Stegostoma tigrinum: one gene and its partners. The protein of the gene in region 2 purifies or fractionates together with the protein of the main gene of each other region. This does not show direct contact. Links are inferred from orthologs where the notes say so. Each region holds a gene or a part of one and is shown on either strand. Other genes may lie near its edges.

Region 1 (7,964 bases), on a different chromosome or scaffold from region 2:
GCAGAATTCCTATATACTGGCTATAACTGAAAACATATCTAAATAGGAATTTCAAGTGAAATGCTGCTTCAGGTTTCTTACCTTTTCTGTCATGTTGATGTCCAAACAGTGTGATAAGAAGGGTCAGAAGTTAATTTCCTTATTAGTCCCTTTCAAATGTTAATATACACACACTTTCCAAATCCACAATAAACTGCCCAGAACATTCCATGAATAAACAAAAATAAATCTAGAATTGCAGCCTACTCCATATCAATAAACTGAAATATTGTTAAATACACAAGATCTTATCTCGAGGTTAACAGCACATTGCGAGGAACTGTAGTACTTCACAGCATACAAAATAGGAATCGATTTAAATTAATACTAGATCGTTAAGTACAAGAAGTAACTTTATTTCCACCTCTTAATGAGCATGCCAAAAAACACTAATCAGTCATGTACTGTCACCTACTGAATGAAAATATTCTTCCTTCAAATACATAGCCTCTACTTTTAAATATTTCTTCAGTTCCTTGACAGATCCATATGTTGCATGTAAACTGGTCTGCCTCATGTCCATGACAGAAGCATGTAATTCAAAATGGTTTACAAATTAAAGGCACCAGTTTTAGTCCTTTACAATATAACAGCTTAATCCACATGAAAGATTACCAACATTATGCTCCGCAGATGAAAAGACCTCTGATTTATTATAATTAATTTTCAGTTGCTTCAGTGTCATCAAAGTAGGATGGTCAGGAAAGATTTTATGACCCTTGAGCATGTTGTTTTTGATTCTCTCAATTTGATTGTAGAAAATATCTCTCAAGGTGAGTTGCTTCATGAATTTGTATAGAAGTAAACCACAGATTTTTCATGTGAAGGGAAAAGAAGTCAGGTACAAATGAACAATGGACCTGGGTAGAACGGACTCTGAAATGCTGAAAGAGAAGGGAAAGATATGTTTGGAAAGGAGTTCATGGCAGAGGTGGCACTAATGTTGAAAGATATGAAAGCTCGTTGAATGTGTGGTGAGAACAAAGGCGCCTCACAGTTCTGACATGGAAACCAAAAGGGGACAACAGAGACGGAACAATTTTTTTCCTCATTACAGAACCTCCCCATCAAGCAAGCATAATTATGCCATTTTATCTCTGCCATTGCCTTCTTCCAAGTATCCAGATGCTTCATCTACACAATTTCTTTTGAAACTTTTCAATTTAGTGTCTGCTGGAAATAATGTGGCTCCTTCTATGTTGGAATAATTATAGATTGGGTGACTTCCTTGTGGAACACCACTGTTCTGCCCATATATGAGTGCCAATGTTTACGGCTGTTTTCATTTCTCCACTTGATCCCCACGATGACCTCTCAATGCTCAACGTACAACCCCTTATCTTTTGATTAGGTACTTCATAGCTACCAGACTCCACAGACCTTCTTCAATTTCACATTGCTTTCATTTTTTAGGACAAAAACAAAAATTGTTGATGATTCTGCTATCCCCATTTTCACCACCTTTAGAACATGTTTTATTTTTTACTCTTGCCCTTGCACCATCATCCTTTTTGTCTTCACTTCCCATTTTCTCTCCCACTGAGCTTCCTTAAATTTTTTTTACGCATTTAACTTTTTCAGTTCTGACAAAAGGTCAATCTGAAACCTCAACTACTTCTCTTAAGTCTGTATGTCCTTTCTGTCTTTCCCCAAAATAAAGACTGTGCCGAGCATAAAATCGGAGTGTTGAGAAATGTTGATCGAAGTCTCTAGATATATTGCTGTGGCAATATAATTACAACAAAACCAAACTGAGCAATGAACATTAGCTGACTTGAGTAAGGCAAAGTTACATTAGTAAATAAACAACATGATCTAATATAGGTTGGTGTACACATAAGAACATATGAAATAGGAATGGGTAATGTCGCGCTTCAAACTTGGCCTGTCATCCATCAAGATCTCGTTCAACTCTGCCATCCCACACTATCCACTCAATCTTGAATTTCCTTTGTAACCCAGGAATCCATCGACACTTGTCTTAAACATACCGAATGACAGAGGATCTGCATCTCTCTCTTTCTCTCTCTCTCTCTCTCTCTGCAATTCCTAAAGGCTGAGTGAAGAAACTGCTGCTCACCTTAATCCAAAGTGCCCAACCCCTTGTTCTATAGCTGTCATCCCATATTTTAAATGCCCCAGCTGAAGAGAATCATTTCTTAGCGTGCATTCCATTAAAGATTGTACCATCAATTATTAAGTGTCTTCATTTTGACAGAAGATAGCATATATTAATCATAACACATATAGGAGAACATGTGTTAAATGAACATCAGGTCATTCAGAAGAGTTAAAACAGGAATAACATACTTTGAAGAATATATATGCAGATGCTTATACTACTTTTCCAAGGCATGTTATTTAAGTTTTATGCAAGTTTTAAAAGCTTCACAAATTTCCAACCTTCCATTTAAAATTTCCTGATTATGAAAAGTGAAAACGCAACATATGCTTAATAAACTTGGAAAAATAATAAACATTGCTACATGTATCAATAATTCTGTTAAATTTATTTACCATGACTAACACTGATCAAAACTAACTGAACCACTTGACATACGTAGAAGTAAAAATGATGTAAAAATAAGTCATTTTGGAATATTAAACTTGACAATATATTGTTATATCAAGAATGTTTACCACTCATTTGAGCTAAAATAAAATGAAAAGCAGAATAAGAAACCAAATTAAAGTACTCAGAAGTACTCTCAGCTAAAACCACCTATATCTATTTTTCAGATCTGTAGAGTTGGCAAATTTTAAAGAACAAAAATAAATTAATGATTTTAGTTTTCAATCATCAAGTCTCCTAACTAAGGAATGGCAGGAACAGTCTTCAAATCAAGCTGTTGAAAAATACAGACAAAACTCTAAGGTTTCTGTGTGCCCAATGCTCACTTCAGACATACTTCCCATTTACTCAACACCAATGAAGATCGGTACAGAAGGACAAAACGAAGGCCTAGGGACTCTTAAGTACATGCAAAGGCTAAAAAGTTGCAACTCATCACAAATGCTCATCTGAGCAAGGACCAACTTACATATCGAGCTATTTCACAGTTATTTGCAGTCGAATGGGCAGAAACGTCAGAGCACAATAATAAGTCCAATCTTTTGAAAGCCATAAGTTGGCTGGTCAAATTAACAGCGTGTTGAAATAATGCAGACCCGATTAGTTTAAGTAACAGATTACCAAATTTAAAACACAAGGTCCATCTGATTTCAAATTTCCCTCACTATATCTGGTTGGAGCCATCTAAACCCCAAAGAGATCGTACCTGTCAAACACATCCATTACATCTATTATTTCCTTCCAGGAGTAGAAAAATCAGCCTACTGGCACTCATGTAGAGCAAAAACCAGGAGAATAAGAGATGGAAAACTTAAAGAAATGTGGAAAAGTTTAATAATTTTAAATTTTAATTTAGACCTACAGAAGATATTAATAGTACTCACAAACACAAAACATATTTCAGCAACTTGCAAAAAAAGTATTGTGAATTTCTCATTTCAAAACAAGCAAAACTGCAGAACATTAACATGAAACTTTAAACTATTAAACTATTATTTGCTGCTATACACAACATACAAATTCGAAATACATCTCTCACATGCATCTAAAAATGATTTAAAAGTTTCTTTGTTTTAAAAAAGGCAGCACTTTTTCAAGGAAAAGCAGATTCACATTGAGGGATCATTTCAACAATTACATTGAAAAATTAAAATATTTATCCACACAATGAGTTACTGCATCCTTTAACTCTAGCTATCAGTGCACTGTTAAAACACTAATTTCACGTATTTTTGTCATAAAAATATAACAGTGGCGTGCAAGACGACCAAACTACTGAAATCCTTCAACTCTAAACGTTTCTTTAGGGCTAAAACGCTACATATTGTACTCCACATCCTATTGGGCCTATAAATATGCAAAATATGAAAAATCACAAACATGACGGTATCTTAACTACCAGTCGATGAGAACTCGTGTACCATATTGATGACCCTACTCCAAACACTCTCCAGAGGTTCCAAATACGAACACATTATTGCATCAGGATGGAACAACCCTTCTTATTACTGCGGGGTTGATACCCACAAGAGCTGAAGTTGGACTGTTGTAAACAGCAGTCACGCATGGCCGTGGCCTGCAACGTAGCATCATCATCATCAGCAGCAAAGAGGGGGCGGATAAATAGAAGGCTTTAAACCAGATTAAACCCCATTTTCAAGAGCCAGCAACGTCCCTCTCCTGCAATATACATATCAAAAAATTATACCCTAAACTCCCAACTTCAATAAGATTTCATTCTCAACACAGCGATATATTTATATAATACTCCAAAATCTGCACTTCATTTTAATAAAATACGGATTTTTAAATAAAAAAGGCCAGATTTGCTTTGCAACCACTTACCTTTAACTCTCTCCTCTCCAAAGCTTTCGCTTCAGAAAAACTCAAAAACAAAGGGTAATAAAGGGCTGAAATGGCACTTAAAAGGCTGCTGGCCAGGCCCGGGAGGTCGGCTGGTTGTTAAGGGAGGTATCCAGGAAGTTTTTCAGACGCTCGGGATGTATCCGGTTGGGAATGTAGACTCATAATAACAAAAAGGAGAATCGGCCGCTTTATTTCTGGAGACTTTATGGAGGCTTTACTCGGAAACACAGAAGGTGGGAGAGAGATAAAGCCACGGAGAGAGAAACAGAGGGAGCGGGGCAAGAGAGAACGAGAGGAAAAAAAACCTGCAGCTGAAAATACCCGGCGCACTGCGCATGTCCCAAGACACAATTACCCAGAATGCTCCGGGGAAGGGGAGATAGGGCGGACCCTGTCGTGTGACGTGTAGGTGGGAGGTCATCAAAGGTCAGAGAGCGGAGGGCGGTGGGTGGGACTATATAAAAGGAGTCGTGGTTACCTGAGTAATCGTTGGAGCCACTGGGCCTCGCTCAGGTATTTGTGGTCTGGCTGATGCACTTTAAATATGGTGCTTTTATTATTTTGTGTACAAAGTTATTTATGTTTTATATATCACGCTAGGTTCAGAACTCTTGGTCCTTATTTTTGACTCACCTGTTGTTTTCTAGCTTTTCCATCACCTGTCGCCTGTTATGTGTTCTTCGCACTTTTATTTATTTAGAATTTTTTTCTTTTAAAACGTATTTGATCTTATTCAGGGTTTTTTAAAAGCTTGGGAGGCAGCAGTTTGTTCTATCACAAGGGTTTACGCATTTGTTCTGTGTTCCGACGTCCCCTCATCGAACGGCTAGAAATTTTCAATTTTTGTTGTTCGTGTTCTGGTCTTGGGTTTTTAAATTTTTTTTTAGGGGAGACGGTAAAGTAGTGGTGGAGAGGCTGATGAAGGAGCCGCACTTGAAATCTGGACAATATAATCCTCCCCTTTCTTTATGGGAGCTTTCTGATGCCTCCATCATTTTCTGTTGATTGTGCCTGTGTCACAATAAACGCTGTATTTGTTCCACGACGTAGAGTTTGTATTTGTATTTGGTGTAACGTGTTCATGGTTTCGTTTTCTGATCGCATGATTTGTCACTATCGACTCTTGATGCTTGTTAGCGGACCAAATGCCTTCTTTCATGTTGCAGGTTTCATCGGCGGATTTTCGTCAGCGAGCTTACCTCATTGGGCACTTTTGGAGGAAGGTATCGCTGGGTTTTTTTCGCTGAATTCTGAAGACTCATTACTGAGGGTAGTTAGTGACACGGACGGTTCTGCTTGTCGAATTTCAACGGTAAATGTATCATTGTAATTGCTGAAATGACTAGAAGGATTTGCCTGCCTTTAAATCAAATGTCGTGAACCACTTTATATGCAATTTTAAAATGTGTGTTCTTTCGTAATTTGATGGTCGAATATAAATCCGATCCTCGAGTTAACTTTACGTAAAACAAATTACGTCGTGAATGATACGGTATAAAGCGATTTTATTTTGAAATCGTTTCCTAGTTCAAGGTAAAATTGTTTAGTGGAGATATTGTAATCTGTTCAGTTCAGTAACCGAAATGGGAGTCGTCCAAATCGAGGTTAGACAAGAGCAACGTAGAAAATTTTTTTGCCTGATACAAAGATCTGCTGGGGTTGATTCTGGGCAGACATTCTGTCTCAGATTTCAGAAAGAAGTGTTTCATGCACACTTGAACGGTTGCCGCCGAATGTAATTAAGAGAAGAATGTGTCTTTCTATTGACGACCAAGCAGAATGCCGGAAGGAAAGCAGCCTCTGATCAATGGTGCACATCCTGTAGCAATGTAGGGAATCTAGAGGATTCAGCCTGGTGCAGTCAGCGAAAGAATTGCTGGACAGGGTCATGCTGCTGGTTTTCTGTTCTGGATTTCTTTATAAACTGAGAGAAGCATCATCTGATGGTTACTTGATGTTACACATTGGTGAAATAGAGAGAAGAGGACTGGATGGAAGCTCAGTATTATGTTGAACTAGTTGCTGTCAAAATTAATTTTGCAGAAATTAGATGATGATTAAAACTGTGACCTTGGAGTTTTATTATCTGAGGAATTCAAGATGGAAGAAAATTCTGCAATTCAATCTTGGGTTCCTCTATTATTTAGTCAGTGTTGCTTTTAGTTTTTGTTACAGTTGCCGCAAAGTTCGTTTCATGGTTGTCTGTGAACAATATTTTGTGTGAAATTGCCTTGTGATTTTTTTTTTTTCTTAATTTGAATATATTCTGCTCTTTGTGAATTTTAACGTGAGGGTTATTATGGCATAATTTATTATTGTCGCATGTGCTGAAATAGTGAAAACTACTGTTGAGACAAATCATATCTGACATCAGGGTAATAGCAACAGAGAAGGAACCACTTCAATGTATGAGAGATTCATTCAAAACTCTGATAAGTAGTGTAGAAGCAGTTCTTGAATCCGTTGCTATGTGTTTTCAAACTTATGAATATTCTGCCCAATGAAAGAGGGTGGAAGAGAGTCTAACTAGGGTAGGACAGAATTTTGATTATATTGTTTGCTTTCCCAGGGCAGGGAGAAGTACAGATGGAGACAGTGAAAGGAAGGCTAATTTGTGTGATGGACTGTTATATTCACAACTCATTTAATTTCTTGCAGTCTTGGGCAGAGCAGTTGCCATATCAAACCGTGATGCAAACAGATAGGATAATTTCTATGCTGCACCTATAAAAATTGGTAATTCATGTGGACATTCCAAATTTCCTCCGAGTTTGGAGGATACAGAAAAGTTGGTGTGCTTTCTTGACTGTAGCATTAATGTGGATAGACCAGGATAGATAAATGGTGACATTTATTCCTAGGAACTTGAAGCTTTCGACCATTCTCCTCTCAGCACAATTGATATTGACAGGGGCATGTCCTGCACTCGACTTCCTGAAGTTGATGTCCAACTTCTTCATGTTGCTGACATTTGAAAGAGATTGTTGCCTTTTATACCATGCCACTAAGCTCTCTGTCGTCTTCAAGTATTTTGCCTCATCATTGTTGGAGATCCAACCCATTACAGTGGTGTTATGAGCAAACATCTAAGTGGAGTTAGAGCAAAATTTGGCCACAGTAGCGAGTGTTTAAGGAGTATAGTAAGGAGGTGAGTATGCAGCCTTGTGGGGCACTAGTGTTGAGGATTGTTGTGGAGGAGGTGTTGTCGCCTGTCCTTACAGTTTGCAGACTGTGGATCAGGATCCCGTTACAGAAGGGGAAAGCCGAGTGCTAGGTCTCTGGTTTGGAGCTGAGGTTGGCTAGAATTAGTGTTGAAGGTAGAGCTCAAGCCAGTAAATGGGAGTCGGACATAGGTGTCCTTGTTATTCAGATGTTCTGGGGTTGAGTGTAAGGCATCTGCCATAGACCAATGGTGACAATGGGAGAATTGTAGAGAATCAAGGCACTTTGGGAGGTTGGAGTTAATGTGTGCTATTACTAACCTCTC
Region 2 (7,838 bases):
GTGTCCATCTTGGTGGTTTCAGTGGGAACACTCTGGGAACTAACTGAGTTTTTAAAAAATCCCAAATATAATTTATTCTTAAAAATACCTTTATATGCATACATAGTCACTGAAGCAGTTTGGTTCTGTATAGTAGCGTATGAAGAAACAAACACTGGAGTTTGACTCTATCCAACAAACAAACCACAGGCATTTTGTACTTGTACAGGATGATATTTATATGTATGTGAGGCATTGGGAGGATCCGATAACTGAATGGACCTCAATTTAACCTCTGCAGAAAGATTTTAGACGATGGCCTTTCTTGACTGTGTCTTGGCAGCAGCTGCCCCAGGCTTTATTGTGTCCTTCAGCGCGTAGTCCTGGACCTTAAAATGTGCCAGTCAGCAACACTCAGTCAAAGGCAACTCCTTGCTCTGGAAGACCAACAAGTTTTGGGCAGGCCAAAGAGTGTCTTTCACCGAGTTTATGATCCTACAGGCACAGCTGTCAATGTTTGTCTTGGTGTGCAACCTATAGCACAAAATCCTGCATCATGGAGCTGCTCAGGATGAACCTCGACAAAAATCACTGCATCTTTTTTGGGCATACGTGAAGGATTTCACAAGTAGTGCCCTTCTCACCACCAGCCAAGTGATGTCTTGGTGCTTGTTAGAAAGTTCTGGCGTTGAGGCATTCTGCCTAGTGACTTTGACAGTCTGGTCAAGAACAACCTGACAGGATCTACCCTATCATTTCCCTGCAGGATCTCTAGGACACTACGTGCTGACCAAGTCCTGAAGGACTTGTGGTCTCTGTTAAGGACAGGTGGTATGGAATGGCCCAACTATGTGGGGTGTTCTGTGGCAACAAGGCAAGACCCATCCTTTGCAACACTGGGGATGGGTAGCGCCTGTCTGATTGGGATATATAGTGCATGTGAAGAGGGTACTGAACTGGATTGTTTTCCAAATAAATTGTTACCTTTTGTTATAAACTATCCCAGTAATGGTTTATTGAATAAAAGTGTGAATATGCTGCCTGATGCCTTGGCAGGATGTACCAGCCTGTTTTTTTGTACTACACAATGTTCCCGTATCAATCCACAGTTTGTGCCAGTTCACCTAATAATAGCAAGACAGCAATCAAAATTAACCCCATTTTCTCTGTGCTAAAGAGAGTTAATCAGTCCTTTGACCCTTGCTAGGAAGCCCATTTATATGGATATCCAGAGAGAACAGGATCAGACTGTACTGTGGTTTTCTGTTGTTGTTTCTTGCAAACATCTCTCTAGGCTCCTACAAGACTGGCCTCTTCTAGAAACCGAAACTCAATCCAGCACCCACAGTCTTTTTTTTTTATTTAGCTCAGATTTGTGGTTTGATCACCAATGTGTGCACAAATTAGGAGTAGTTTAAATGATTCTCAGAAGTAGTTCTTTTCCTGTCCTCATTCACATGTAAATATATAATTAAGTTAAGTTTGACTACTAAAAGTGGTAACAGTTGCTGGTTTTCACACCGCCATTTTATTTCACAGCAAGTTGCTGGTTCAGCCCTTTTGTAGAATTCTGGTGCCATTTCTATACAGCTTGGATTCTCTACATTGTAGTTTAGGGTTTCTGAATTCATTGTTACAGCTTGGCCTTATAATACACTCAGATTTCTATTATTCTGATCTCAAATTTGAACAAGACATGAGACACAATTTAAAGTCAACCTCCAAATTAATCGTGCTATTATGATTCTCAAAACCTTGCACTATTTAACATGAGGGACATACTTAGACTTTCATTCACTATCATCTCTTTAACTCTTGACATGCATCGTTATTTAACTTAAGTAATTAAATTGAATAATTAACTGAAATATCAGAATTTGCAATATCAAAAAGTCACAACACAAAGCATCCACACTTGTCTCGAGAACGTAACACTGTCTTAGCATCAACATGATAACTGCAAGCTATTCAACAATGTCATAAATCTGTAGATTATTTATTATATGCTTCAGTTGTGCAGGGCAAAATCAGTATGATCTATCTAAATGGTAATGAAAATGATACAGCATTACAAAAGTGCTAAAAGCTTTTCATTTTCAGAGTTGCAATTCATCTAAGTAACAGTGACTGTGAGACTATTACTGATTTGTTATGAAAACCCTTGTGGTACACTACTGTCTTTTAGGGAAGGAAATCTGCCACCTTCAGCTGGGTTGACCTACATCTGATTCCAAAACTACAACAATGTGGATAACTCTTAGCTACCCACCTAACACGATTTAGTGAGCCACTTGGTTATCACCACTAATGTCTCAATGATAATTAGGGACGGACAGCAAATGTTGGTCTTCCCAGTGACACACACATCCCCTGAAAGAAAATAAAAAGAATTCTACTTAAATGTTAATGTATGTGTCTCATAATCAATGATTGTCACTACTAAACTCCATTCACTGTGTGTTTTGGAGTCAGCAGTAGACGATGTGAAGATATTGCTTAGCTTGTGTGGTAGACTTATAACTCGAGACAAGTGGAGTTAAGGGAAAAGAGGCAGTATGAAAGCAAGCTTATCACAAAACACCCATCATGAGATGTGAGTTAAAACTACTTATTCAGATTGTCAAAAATGTGGGAAGCGGTCTTCCACAAAGTGTGTTGCTAGTATCTCTCACAGGTTCACAAACATGAACACAATTAGTGGTACCAAATTGAATGTGACACTAAATTGTTGGATATAGTTAATACTGGAGGATGGTGACAATACAAGAAGACATTAATAAATAAAACTTGCAGAATAGGTATGTAATTGGCGCACAAACTACAATGTAGGTGGGGGTGTGTTAGAATGTTTTTGTAGTGAAAACTAAGGAGGCAACATACTCCCTGGGAAGATACAGTTTAAATGGTGCAGTTAAACCTCGATCGAGGGATGCAAACTTGAAAATCGCTCAAAGTAGTGCAACAGATTAATGAGGCCATTAAAATGCAAATTAAGTTAAATATTTACTCTTACCTGCCTTTGCTGTTCAGAATTTTTAATAAGGCTGGTTCAGGCATGATCTTCCCTTTGGAATCCATAGAGACTGTGTTTATGACTTTCAGATTCTTGGTATTTTTCCAGATTATCTTTGAGTAGAGTATAATCTCTCTTATACTGTTGACATGCGGTTAATTGGCCACTCATTCTTGAAATGTTACACCTACTACTTGACTGCTATACACAGAAGATCATATTACAGTCCTTTTATCTTATTTATGATCCTGTTCAATATTTACCTTGAAACTTTTTTATTATATTTTTGTTACTTCCTAGACACTCCCCTATACTTAGCACTTAACCATTATAATTAATATTTCCCATCGTTAAATTCATCAGTGCTTCCTTCCTTGTTTGGCTTTTTATATCATAGTAAAATTTCTGTTATATGACATATCACAAAGTAGAATGCTCCATCAACTAGCACATTTGATTTCATCAATCCATTGTTCGTCCCCTGACCACCACCACCACCCCCCCTGCCCCATAGTATGCTGACTGTGTTTTGATGGATAGATTTGACAGTTCATGCATTAGAGTCATAAAGACATACAGCATGGAAACAGACCCTTTGGTATAACCAGTCCATGCTAACCATTGCCGTAATTTCAAACTAAACTTGTCCCACCTGTTTGTTTGTTCGTGGTCCATATCCTTCCAAACATTTCTTATCCATGAACTTATCTAAATGGCTTTTAAACATTCTGACTAACTGTACCTGCATCTACCTCTTATGCACACAAACCACTCTATACCCACCAAAATGCCTTCTAAATGTAGTACCAGCCTCCACTACTTCCTCTGGCAGCTTATTCCTTACACGCACCACCCTCTGCATGGAAAACGTTGCCCCTTAGGTCCCTTTTAAATTTTTCCCCACTCCCCTTAAACCTATGCCCTCTAGTTTTAGACTCTCATGCCCCAGGAAAAAGACTTTGTCTATTCACTCTATACATGCCCCTCATGATTTTATAAATCTCTATATTGTCACCCCTGTGTCTTCAATGCCTCAGGGAAAATGGCCCCAGCCTATTTAGCCTCTCCCTATAGCTCAAACCCTGCAACTCTGGCAACATCCTTGTAAATTTTTCCTGAACTTTTTCACAACATCCTCCCTATAGTAGGGAGACCAGAATTGCATACAGTATTCTAAAAGTGGCCTAACCAATGCCCTGTACAGCAGCAGCGTGATCTCCGAACTCCTGTACTCCATGCTGTGCCCAATAAAGGCAAGCATACCAAACCCCACCTTCACCACTGAGTTTACCTGTGACTCCACTTTCGAGGAACTGTGAACCTGCACTGCAATGTCTCTTTGTTCAGCAACACTCCCCAGAACCTTGCCAATAAGTGTATAAGTCCGCCCTGATTTGCCTTTGCGAATGCAGCGCCTCTCATTTATCTAAGTTAAACTGCATCTGCCACTTTTAGGTCCATTGGCCCATCTGATCAAGATCCTGTTGTACTGTGAGGTGATGTTCTTCTCTGTCCACTACACCTCTACTTTTGTCTTTTAAATCTTTCTCCTGTCACCTTAAAAAATTGTCCCCTAGTCTTGAAATCCTAATCTTGCAAGTTGATTCTGATCATAATGCTTCTTTGTAAATCCCATGTGCTGGCATTTTCACCCACATCAGTGTCCACATTAAATGCTGAATGTGCATTTTTAAACTTAGAAATAGGGCTTGACGTTCTTCCTGTAGCTCTATGTTATTATGACTGACAGTATTTGCCTAAGATATTTGTGACCATTAAACCACAATCCTGTTTTGAGGATTGGCAGTTATTTTAAAAAAATGCAACAAGCATCAAAGTAAATGTATAAAATGCCAGCACTGTCAACCAGAATGTAAAAGAACTGGTTGCATTTGGTCCCTCAAATACTAACTGCTGAGTTAGCTAGCATTTTAGATTTGCTGGCACCAGCTGATCCCAGTGTGTGAAAGAAAATATGGATCTTGCAGTCTCTGTAAGAAACTGCACACATTCTTAAGAACTCCAATATGTGTACATATGCAACAAAAGACTTCCAGACTTTACAAAAATGTTTTATTGTAGATCTGTAGTGTAGAACAAACTCCTGTTTCCCCCTTTTCCTTCTGAAGCAAACATCCAACTGGGAAAGAACTTGGCTTTTGAAAGTTTAATACCTATCAACCTATTTTTTTAAATACTCTCCATAATAACAAGGGAGGGGATTAAATAAAAATAATATCAGAGGAAGAAATAATGCACTGAAAGCCTTGCAGTGTACGTTTCTCTCTCAATGCTTCGAGAATTCAGCTTTCATTTTTGAAATATCCAATGTCCAATCAACTAAGTAACTAACAAATAACAAACACTGTCAAACTGTTGCACCAACAAAACGAAAAGATGGGGAATTGAGGGTAGGAACTAAATTGAAATATTGTTGGTGGAAGAGATAATGAATTCCAGCCTAAGCAGTAGCTGTCTTTTTCTAAAAGCCTAAAGAACTTCATTCTTAGATATTCTTTAATCAATCTGTTTAGACATGTTATGACACATCTATATCAGAGGTATGGTTACTACCACTTCACCACGAAAGCCTTTTAGAACTCAGCTTTTTTTTTCATACCTCCCACCAACTCACCTGTTTCAGAACTCTACTGTCTTTTATAATCAACCTGCTCAGGGTTGTGACATGCTTCTGGAGTGGTTGGGAATTGAATCTGGGCCTTCCAGCTCAAAGGGAAGGACACTATCCCTATCACCAAAAGAGCCCTAAAGATCTCGGCTGATTTTTTTTTTGAAATCCACCTTCAAATCAACCTGACTACTTTAAATATTTTCTTATCAACTTGTTTGGAAATGAGAAGGTTCCCCTTTTTTCCTAAAAAAAAACCCCCTACCAAATCACCCAAGCTATCAACTAAACAGCACTTGAACAACACTGCCTACAGGGGTAATGTAACAACAACAAAAATAGGGGAGGGGACTAACGTGCAGTTAGAAGGGGATATAATGCATTCCAGCTGCTCCCCCCCACTTCAAAAACCCCAGAACCTAGTGTCTGCCGCTCTGAAGGCATTAAGTGTGTTGCGCCCTCTCACTGAGGACATCCAGACCCAAAGTTCACCACTGGGGCAGGCAGGCAGAATTAAAACCAACTAACCTGGATCTGTTGATAACCACCTTGGCCGCGCCCTGTAGGAAGTCCCCTGCTGTGCCCACACTCCTGGAGACTGGGTGCCCAAAGATCAAGAGCGTGGGACTGATGTGCAATCAAAAGAGCAGCAAAAGATTTCTAAGGTAATTCAACTGGGTGCAGTTGCCCACACCCAACTTATACATGGCCCACAGAATCCAAAGCAGTGAATGAACAACAGATTTGGGGGTCCGTAGGTTTATGGTTTATGATTGCTTTGGTGTGCTGTATGCAAACACTCACTATGCTAGGCCCCATTGAGAAGTTGGCCTTTTTTTTAGTAATAATTGATTAGCTCAGACCCCTGCTGCTTTGCTTCAGCCTGTCCAGAGATGGTGTTGTGTACCACTGGAACTGGTGAAAATTGAACCTAAGACTTCCTGGGTCAGAACTGGGCTTTTTCTTTTTTGTCAAACCATTCTGTGCAGATATGTTACTGAATATGTCTGCAGCAGGTGGGATGTAAACCCAGGCCTCCTAGATCAAAGGTAGGGACACTACCATTGCACAACATGCACTCTTAGAACCGAGCACTTTTTGATAACTCTCCACCAATAACTAGTTGAAACAACTAAACAATAACAGTTAACAAGATCCTCCCACAATAAGAAGTGCAGCAACTACGAAAATAGGGAATGTAGGAAGAGAAGGAGCAGAAAATAATTCAGTCCAGCCTCTGCAGTGCTGACCTGTCTCAAATCATGAAGATGTTGGTGTAGAACCAGTATTTTTTATATCTTCTAATCAATCTCTTCAGAGTTGTTATACTCACCTCTAGAGCAAATGGGGTTTGAACCTGGATGTCCTGGCCCAGAGGTAGGACACTACACTATGCTGCAAGAACCCTTCATTGAGTCAGACTTATGCAATATTGACACAGACCCTTCGGTCCAACTTGTTAACGCTGACCAAATGTCCTAAACTGATCTAATCCTGTTTGCCAGCATTTGGCCTATATCTCCTTAAACCCTTCTTATTCATATACCCATCCAAATGCCTTTTAAATGTTGTAATTGTACCCACCTTCACCACTTCCTGTGGCAGCTCATTCCATACACGCACCACCCTCTGTATGAAGCTTTTTTGTTTAAACCACCACCAAACCAGCTGTGTCACTAATTAAACAATTAATAATTTAGAAGCAATGCCACAAAGTTTAGTACAGCAAAAATAGGAGAACTAACTTATTGCTTTTGTATAGCCCACAACCAAATCATACGTAGCAAGAATGCAGCTGTTTTTCAGAGCAGCCTGTTGAGATGTTATCACACATCTCTAGAGCAGCTGTGAGTTGAACCCAGGCTTCCTGGCTCAAACACCACTGCTGTATCACATGAGCCTACGAACTCAGCCTTTTTCGTTTTGAAAAGATATTTTAATCATCCTGTTCAGAGATGTATTGCATATTTCTGGAGTAGGTAGAACTTGAATCTGAGACTCCTGGTCCAAAATCCAAAGTGGATCACCTGTTGTCGTCAGTCCCTTGCCTGTTTAAGCCTGTAAGGGAATCTGCATTTCTAACTGACATTTTATGCCATTTTATTGAAGGGTGGTTAAATTTCCCGTGATTGATTATTCATCCCTGTCTCAGACTTCATCAGTTAAGCAATGAACTGATAAATAAGAAGTTGCTTACAGAAAGACACATCTGAAAAT
Region 3 (7,468 bases), on a different chromosome or scaffold from region 2:
CAAAGTTCTAGAGAATCTCATCGAACTAGTTTTTCTCACCCACGGTTATCTGAAAGATAGGCTGTGATTATTAGTATTGCATAGTAAATTAATGAACTGTATTTATTCAAAGCACCCTGGAAACTTCAGATTTTTTCTACCAATTATCTCCCATCCAATAAGACTAATGTACAACATAATCTATCATGATAACTTTGACACAGAATAACAAGTATAAAGCCTAATTTAAACTAAAGAAAAACTTGGCAGAATGAGTTAACAAGCATTGGTAAAATTGCTGTATTATCGACTGCAGCACCAACCAACTCTGCACTGACAGCAGATGCAAAGAACAATGAGATTTCAGAATTGAAGGCCAATGTCAAATGATGCACGAGATGCAAGAACAAGTGTGAAAAAAATTACACCATCTATCACAGGAATCCAATAACAATGATGCTAACAATAATGAAGACGATGATGAAGGTCCACATGCTGTTATCCAATCAGGATGTTCGGACAAATCATTTGGTAATTCAGATGGAGGTTCGTGATTTTGAAGGAATTCAATATTAAGTGTTGTAGTTGCTTTATCATTTCATTAATATTGAACAAAATTGAATGTTTACATTAATACAATATAAAATAAATATTACTGAATCAATTTACATTCTTTACTGTTATCCATTTTATTCCTTACAATGGTCGTTCCTGGGCACAAATTAAGCATGCATGTAAATCCCTCAAAGGCATGAACAGCAAAGGTCCACCTCAGAATTTTGGCCTAACAATATGGCATCAAAATTCAGCCAATTCATTTAAAATACAAAATTACCTCTCCCAGTATTGATTGCAGAGTTAAAATCTGAGGATCCCGACAAATCAATTTCTCTTTCAGTAAGAGGATTCTGTCTTCTGGATATTCACCATGATTAAGTTTAGACATCTTTACAAACTGTAGGAACAAAGTTCTCCCTTAGATTATAAAATATAAATTAAACATATTGAAAGATTATTCTCACTATTTCGTATAGGTATCAACTTACGCAATTATTGATGCTTTGAAGAATGTGATACTTTGTTTACCTACACTATTCATTTTCAAAATAATTTCTATGGTGTAATGTTGATAGAAACAGATCTATCACATTTGGAACAAATAGGACACCTAAACCTTCATAATAAAAGGCTTCCATTTTTGAATAATAGCAAATCAGGTTGCAAACAAAATAACGGACTGCAAATTTCAGTCATAAAGACACAGTACAGTAATGGCTACCTCAAGGACAAGAGGACAGGCATAACACGGATCCCGTTCTTGGGCTATCCTGTCAGGAGATTAGTGTCTGCATCCTGCAAATGTATACAAGATGCCTAAAAAGGCTCTTGTGGTGCAGCGCTACCTCTGAGCCAGGAGGCCTAGCGTCAAGTCCCATCTGCTCCAGAGATGTGTAATGACAACTCCAAACAGATTGATAAGGAAGTATAAATAAAAACATATGCGGTATTCAATGAATCAAGTCTTATGTGGCATTATTTAATTTGTAGACTTTTTTCGATCTGCAGCCTCATTCTTCCTCACTTTCGTAACTACAATGAGCAATTATATAATACTTTTAAGCATCAGAAAATATGCTAAAGCATACCCTCATAGAATCAGATTCAGCAAAACAAAAACATCATGAGGTGCACTTGAAAGATGAGGTGGAAGATTTAGTACGCATCTCAAAAAGTTCAAAGTTAGAAGTTAGATGCAGTTAGAAGTAGAAATCTCTACAGCTGAGGACTGAAGGCAATTCACCAACGGTTGGGCAAAGAGAGAAGACGGTGCACAGAAGTCAGAGTCAGAAGAGCATGGAAGTAAAGCAATGACATTAAGGAATTTCGAAACAAGAATGAGAATTTCAAATTAATAATACAACAAACCTGAAACCGAAGCAATCGTAGGCAATTCTGATTTGTGATTTAATCGGTCATGTTTCTGCATCCAAATGCTCAAACATTTACTTAAATATTTGTAGTCAGCAGTAATTTCCAAAATTTCCATTAAGACTTAAGTTGCAACATAGTTCACATTACATCATAAGTAAAAATGAGCTGCATGCATCAGAAAATTATTTACTGTCTCTCAAACAAAGAAAAAAAATTGCAGATGGCAGAAATTTGAAATAACAGGAAATGCTGGAAATACAACAGGCCTGACAAAACATGTGCTGAGCAAAACCAAGTAAACATCTCAGATGTTTCCGATCAGAGTAGGACAAAAGAAAAAGTGCATCAAGTTTTCAGCAAGTGAAAAGTGTCAAGGGCTGGAATGAGTAGTTATGGTGGGAAATATAATCAGAGGGAAAGTTTGTAAGAGGGTGGAGCATAGCAGAAATACACAAAATTTTTTTAAAAAGCAAAAAAAATGTAAAAACCAGGCAATTAAGATAGAAGAAACAAATTGGGATTCCTCCAGAGTGAAATACAAAAGTGAGCATTCTCGGCAGAACACCAATTCCCCTTGCTGTTTTGAATTGTCAGCACGAAAGCTATAGGAGTGTTTATTTTTAAAATTTGCCTGTATAAAGATAAAAACGTTTGCAACTAAAACATATGGGGAGGGAAGTTGTTCAATCTAAAAACATTTTGTGTAAAAACTCAAAACTCTCGTGTGAATCCACCTTTCTGATTCCATTTAAGACGCCAAAACGTTTTGGGGAATGCATCATAGGCTTTAAACAATTTAACAGTTAACGGATCGTTTAAGAAAAAAGCCAACCACCTACAGCGGCCGCTAACTTGGTCTTACTTGTTATTTTCCTCACTTGGACCAAATCTTCTTAATGTGAATTGTTATTATTTTTTAAAAGAAAAACACGTCACAGATTAAAATCAGCTTCATACTCCAACGGGTTTGAAATCACCTGGCAATCTTTTGTTCGATCCGCGGAAAGCACGGGGTCATTTCCCCACACTAGCCCGGCACTCACCAACCGTAACCATTAGTCAAAATTACCACGCGACCCCAATACCGTCTCCTTCCCGGGTTAATCGGACTCTCACGCGCCAAAACCTCCTTCCATGAACTTTCACCCCACCACCCGCGATCCTACTGCGCAGGTGTCAGAACACGCAGCACACTGGGACTTGTAGTTTGTGGGCGGAGGAACCCAAATTCATTTAAGAAACGAAAACAAAATACTGGAAGTTCTCAGCAGATCGAGTAACATCTGTGGAGAAGGGAATCAGAGCCAGCGTTTCGTTTCAGTTATCTTTAATTCAGAATTGTGCAAAAAGGTTAGTAATGTAATAGAAAGAGTTCAGAAGAAACTCAGTAGGTCTGGCCGGATGAGTGGAGAAAAAAAGTTACAATTTCAGACCTGCTGAGTTTCTCTGGCATTTTACGTTTTTCGTTTCAGATTTCCAGCATCTGCAGTTCTTTGTTTTATTCCAGAAATCTAATAGGTTTTGAGGAAGAACGTGGGCGCAGAAAAAGGAATGAAAAGGCAGGACTCATAGACTGCAAAATAGCACAGCCTTATTTGTAGTATAGTTAGTCTTGGAAGTTTTGCTTGAAGAAACAAGGCAATCTTCAGCAATGTCAAAGTTGATTGGTTTTAAATATATCTGAGTAGTGTTCGCGTTTTTTTTTGTTCATGATGTTTACCATGGTTACTGAGTGATAAGTTAGTCTTCAATGTCATTCTCCCTTTGATTGAATTTTTGTCTCTTTCATAAGCAGTGCCTTAGAATTGTGGATGATTTGCTTTCACTTTGTGTTCAATGGGTCCTGAGGTAGCTGACAAGTCCATTTTTCAGACTCGGTGACAAATGGGGTAGGTGTGCTTCGAAGGGTAGAGAGATGAGCTGTTGGGAGATTTGTGCACTCACATCTCTGGCTCCTCGACTACCTTTATTCATTCCCCTTAATGGGTTTGGTATTTTCCCAATTGAGCCATCTCTATTTTGGTCAGTCAAGCCAAGGATTTCTATGAGTCTGCTTGGACACTTTGCCTCTTCGGAATCATTCAAGGTTTGCCCTAAAGTATTTTCATTGTCCTCCTGCAGGGGGTGGTGGGGTTGGTTGCTCCTGCTACCACTAATTACCAAGTAGAGCAGTAGCTTTAAGTGAATATTGTTTGGCTTATGAACAAAATGTTCTGTCCCTGCACTCAGTCAGAATTTTGGGTGATTAACACCTTGATATTGGATACAGGCCCCAAGATGACATTCCACATTAAGCAGAGGTTCACCTGCACATCTGCCAATGTGGTATACTGCATCCACTGTACCCGGTGCGGCTTCCTCTACATTGGGGAAACCAAGCGGAGGCTTGGGGACCGCTTTGCAGAACACCTCCGCTCAGTTCGCAACAAACAACTGCACCTCCCAGTCGCAAACCATTTCCACTCCCCCTCCCATTCTCTAGATTACATGTCCATCATGGGCCTCCTGCAGTGCCACAATGATGCCACCCGAAGGTTGCAGGAACAGCAACTCATATTCCGCCTGGGAACCCTGCAGCCATATGGTATCAATGTGGACTTCACCAGTTTCAAAATCTCCCCTTCCCCTACTGCATCCCTAAACCAGCCCAGTTCGTCCCCTACCCCCACTGCACCACACAACCAGCCCAGCTCTTCCCCCCCCCACCCACTGCATCCCATAACCAGTCCAACCTGTCTCTGCCTCCCTATCCGGTTCTTCCTCTCACCCATCCCTTCCTCCCACCCCAAGCTGCACCCCCAGCTACCTACTAACCTCATCCCACCTCCTTGACCTGTCCGTCTTCCCTGGACCGACCTATCCCCTCCCTACCTCCCCACCTACACTCTCTCCACCTATCTTCTTTACTCTCCATCTTCGGTCCGCCTCCCCCTCTCTCCCTATTTATTCCAGTTCCCTCTCCCCATCCCCCTCTCTGATGAAGGGTCTAGGCCCGAAACGTCAGCTTTTGTGCTCCTGAGATGCTGCTTGGCCTGCTGTGTTCATCCAGCCTCACAGTTTATTATCTTGGAATTCTCCAGCATCTGCAGTTCCCATTATCTCTGATATTGGATATAATGATTTCAGACAGGACATTGCTATTGAATTGTCACTGGATTTGGAGGACCTTGCGAAAGCTCCACTGATGGTACTTGAACGATGTTCTCAGTTGCTTCCTACATGTTTTATATGCTCCAAAGCATGAAAGTGTGGTATTCACTGGTGCTCAGCAAACCATGATCTTAGTTTCATATTTGAGATCTCTGCTTCTCAGATACTTTTTTCAATACACCATAGGCTGAGCTGGGACATTGTAGGTGATAATAGATGTCATAATCTGTCTGCCTTCATCAAGAGGAGGCACCCAAGTTATATAAAATGGTTCATATTTTACAGGATTGTGGCATTGATCTTAATCGAAAGGGAGAGGTGTTGAACTTTGAGAGCTAGTAGCAAAGGGTCCTTCGTTTAAAATGTTAGAGCTACAGCTCCAGTCAGTTGCATCATTTCTGTTTGTTAGATTTTGGCTCAGCCGTATCCATTTCTTTTCTCAGCAACATCAATTAGCATCAACAAACTTAATTCAACTTTATATTATCCTGAATTGAATCAGCTGTGGGTGTGTTTCAGTGTAATAGTAAAGATTAAAGAGTTTCTTGTTCTTGAGATATGTTGTTGATATCAGAAATAAACTGTGTTTTAATTACTGTAAATTGTTCTGTGGGCTGAGGGACTTACATCTGGCTATCAGCACCCACTATTATGAGTAAAACATTGTGTTAAATTGCACACTTACTATTGTTGTCAATTTCGAGTTAATCAGTAATTAGCAACCATACAATACAAAAATTATAGACTTGTACTTTCTTTAGAGCTTTCATGACCTCAAGATATTCCAAAGCGCATTAAAGCCAATTAAATATCTTTCAACATGGACCTGGATCTTTGAAATGAAAGAGAATCTCTTCATCATTGTGAAAGTGGCAAAGGAGCCCAAAACTCAGACAATTAACCCCACCCACTGCAGCCCAAAAACAACATTCTCTATTCTGAGGTAGCATCAGCTTTCCTGCTTCTCTGATGCTGCTTGGCCTGTTGTGTTCATCCAGCTCTGCACGTTGTTATCTCAGATTCTCTATTCTCTGCAGTGACTCAGGTTTGTGAAAAGCCACTTGCCTCTCTGATGAAGGGTCTAGGCCCGAAACGTCAGCTTTTATGGCTCTCTGATGAAGGGTCTAGGCCTGAAACGTCAGCTTTTGTGCGTCTAAGATGCTGCTTGGCCTGCTGTGTTCATCCAGCTATACACTTTGTTATCTTGGATTCTCCTGGTTTAGAGGTCTAAAGTTTGTGGATTTGTTTTTATATTGAGAATATCTTTTTGGAAAGGTAGGGTATCCCTTTAGGTATAGTGCAAGGAGACCTTTTGGTAGAGTCAAATTGCCCTTTGGGAGAGGTAAAGTGTGTGTGTTCGACTTGTTAAAAGTAGACATGAATGTACACAAAAGGTGCGCAGCTCATTCACATTGAGTCTATTATAATTGTCAACACAGCTATCAAAAGGAAATGGCAAATGCGTTTGTCAAAAAAAAAGAGGAACTGTGAAATGGAGCTTTTGTGATTTTAAAGGTGTTTAAAACACCTAGACTTCCGTTAATTGAAAACGTATCGGCACGTTTTTAAAAAATTCCTTGCTGTTTCACTCTGCCTATTGGCATAAACCTGAGGGTTACCAATATCAGGTTGGTGCTGCTTAACTGATTTTACAACCTTCTTGTCATGACCACACTTCAGACATACACTCAGAGTGGTCTGTGATCTAAGAATTCGTACAATCTTTTCTGTAGAGCTGTTTCAGTTTTTGACTGCTTTTAATTTAGTTAATCTGTAGCACAACTTTGTGTTTTTAACAAAGTAAAATGTTAATTTATAAAACATTTATTGTTGGAAAATATTTACATTAAAAAATTACCACATTATTAGATGAAACACAGATTTAAATATTTTAAGTGAGTAAGATAAAAGTTACATGTTAAGATAAAAAAAAACCAAACTCCAATTTCATTGCAGGTCTGACTTGATTGAAGATTGTTTTTCTTAAGTGGTGGGTTTGAAAATTGAAATTAAATTCTGCAACTTTGGCTTCTGGAATCCAGTGGTTGGAGGTTGTTCCCATTGGTAAACTGAGATGAACAGATCCTGTGTGTGAGTGGAGACTCCTTTCATTCAATTTTATGGCATTGCAATTTGTGCCTCTTGGTTCTCAGGTTAAGATACAGTAGTCTCTGTCTCACTGTTCATAGCATGTTTCATAATGGTGCTCAGATGATTCTCTTGAGATTTCTGCATAAAATGGTTGATCACAGCTGGACTTTTATAAAGTTCCAAAACGTAAAAATGGCTGTTATCCCAAACTGTTGAATCATGCTTCAAGTTTCCAGGCTTTGGTTCTTTGATACTACTTAAATTATCGATCCCATGATTCTTAAGTAAATCTTTCCACAGTATACCTGATAAATAA

What was found.
Region 1: the proteins of lrwd1 (region 2) and orc4 purify together in Homo sapiens (affinity purification with mass spectrometry; 3 studies listed by BioGRID and IntAct, with this or other methods). This does not show direct contact. The link is inferred for Stegostoma tigrinum from reciprocal best matches to the Homo sapiens genes LRWD1 and ORC4.
Region 3: the proteins of lrwd1 (region 2) and orc5 purify together in Homo sapiens (affinity purification with mass spectrometry; 4 studies listed by BioGRID and IntAct, with this or other methods). This does not show direct contact. The link is inferred for Stegostoma tigrinum from reciprocal best matches to the Homo sapiens genes LRWD1 and ORC5.

What each region holds. Positions count from the first base shown.
Region 1 is NC_081360.1:83,672,318-83,680,281, reverse strand, and holds the start of orc4 (origin recognition complex subunit 4), read left to right. Parts: upstream 1-4,898; 5' UTR 4,899-4,990; intron 4,991-5,643; 5' UTR 5,644-5,789; intron 5,790-7,964. UniProt on the Homo sapiens protein: Component of the origin recognition complex (ORC) that binds origins of replication. DNA-binding is ATP-dependent. The specific DNA sequences that define origins of replication have not been identified yet.
Region 2 is NC_081380.1:9,118,112-9,125,949, forward strand, and holds the start of lrwd1 (leucine-rich repeat and WD repeat-containing protein 1), read right to left. Parts: upstream 3,083-7,838; 5' UTR 2,993-3,082; intron 1-2,992. UniProt on the Homo sapiens protein: Required for G1/S transition. Recruits and stabilizes the origin recognition complex (ORC) onto chromatin during G1 to establish pre-replication complex (preRC) and to heterochromatic sites in post-replicated cells.
Region 3 is NC_081378.1:23,171,891-23,179,358, reverse strand, and holds the start of orc5 (origin recognition complex subunit 5), read right to left. Parts: upstream 3,059-7,468; 5' UTR 2,955-3,058; exon of another isoform or gene 2,774-2,954; intron 935-2,773; 5' UTR 926-934; coding exon 815-925; intron 1-814. UniProt on the Homo sapiens protein: Component of the origin recognition complex (ORC) that binds origins of replication. DNA-binding is ATP-dependent. The specific DNA sequences that define origins of replication have not been identified yet.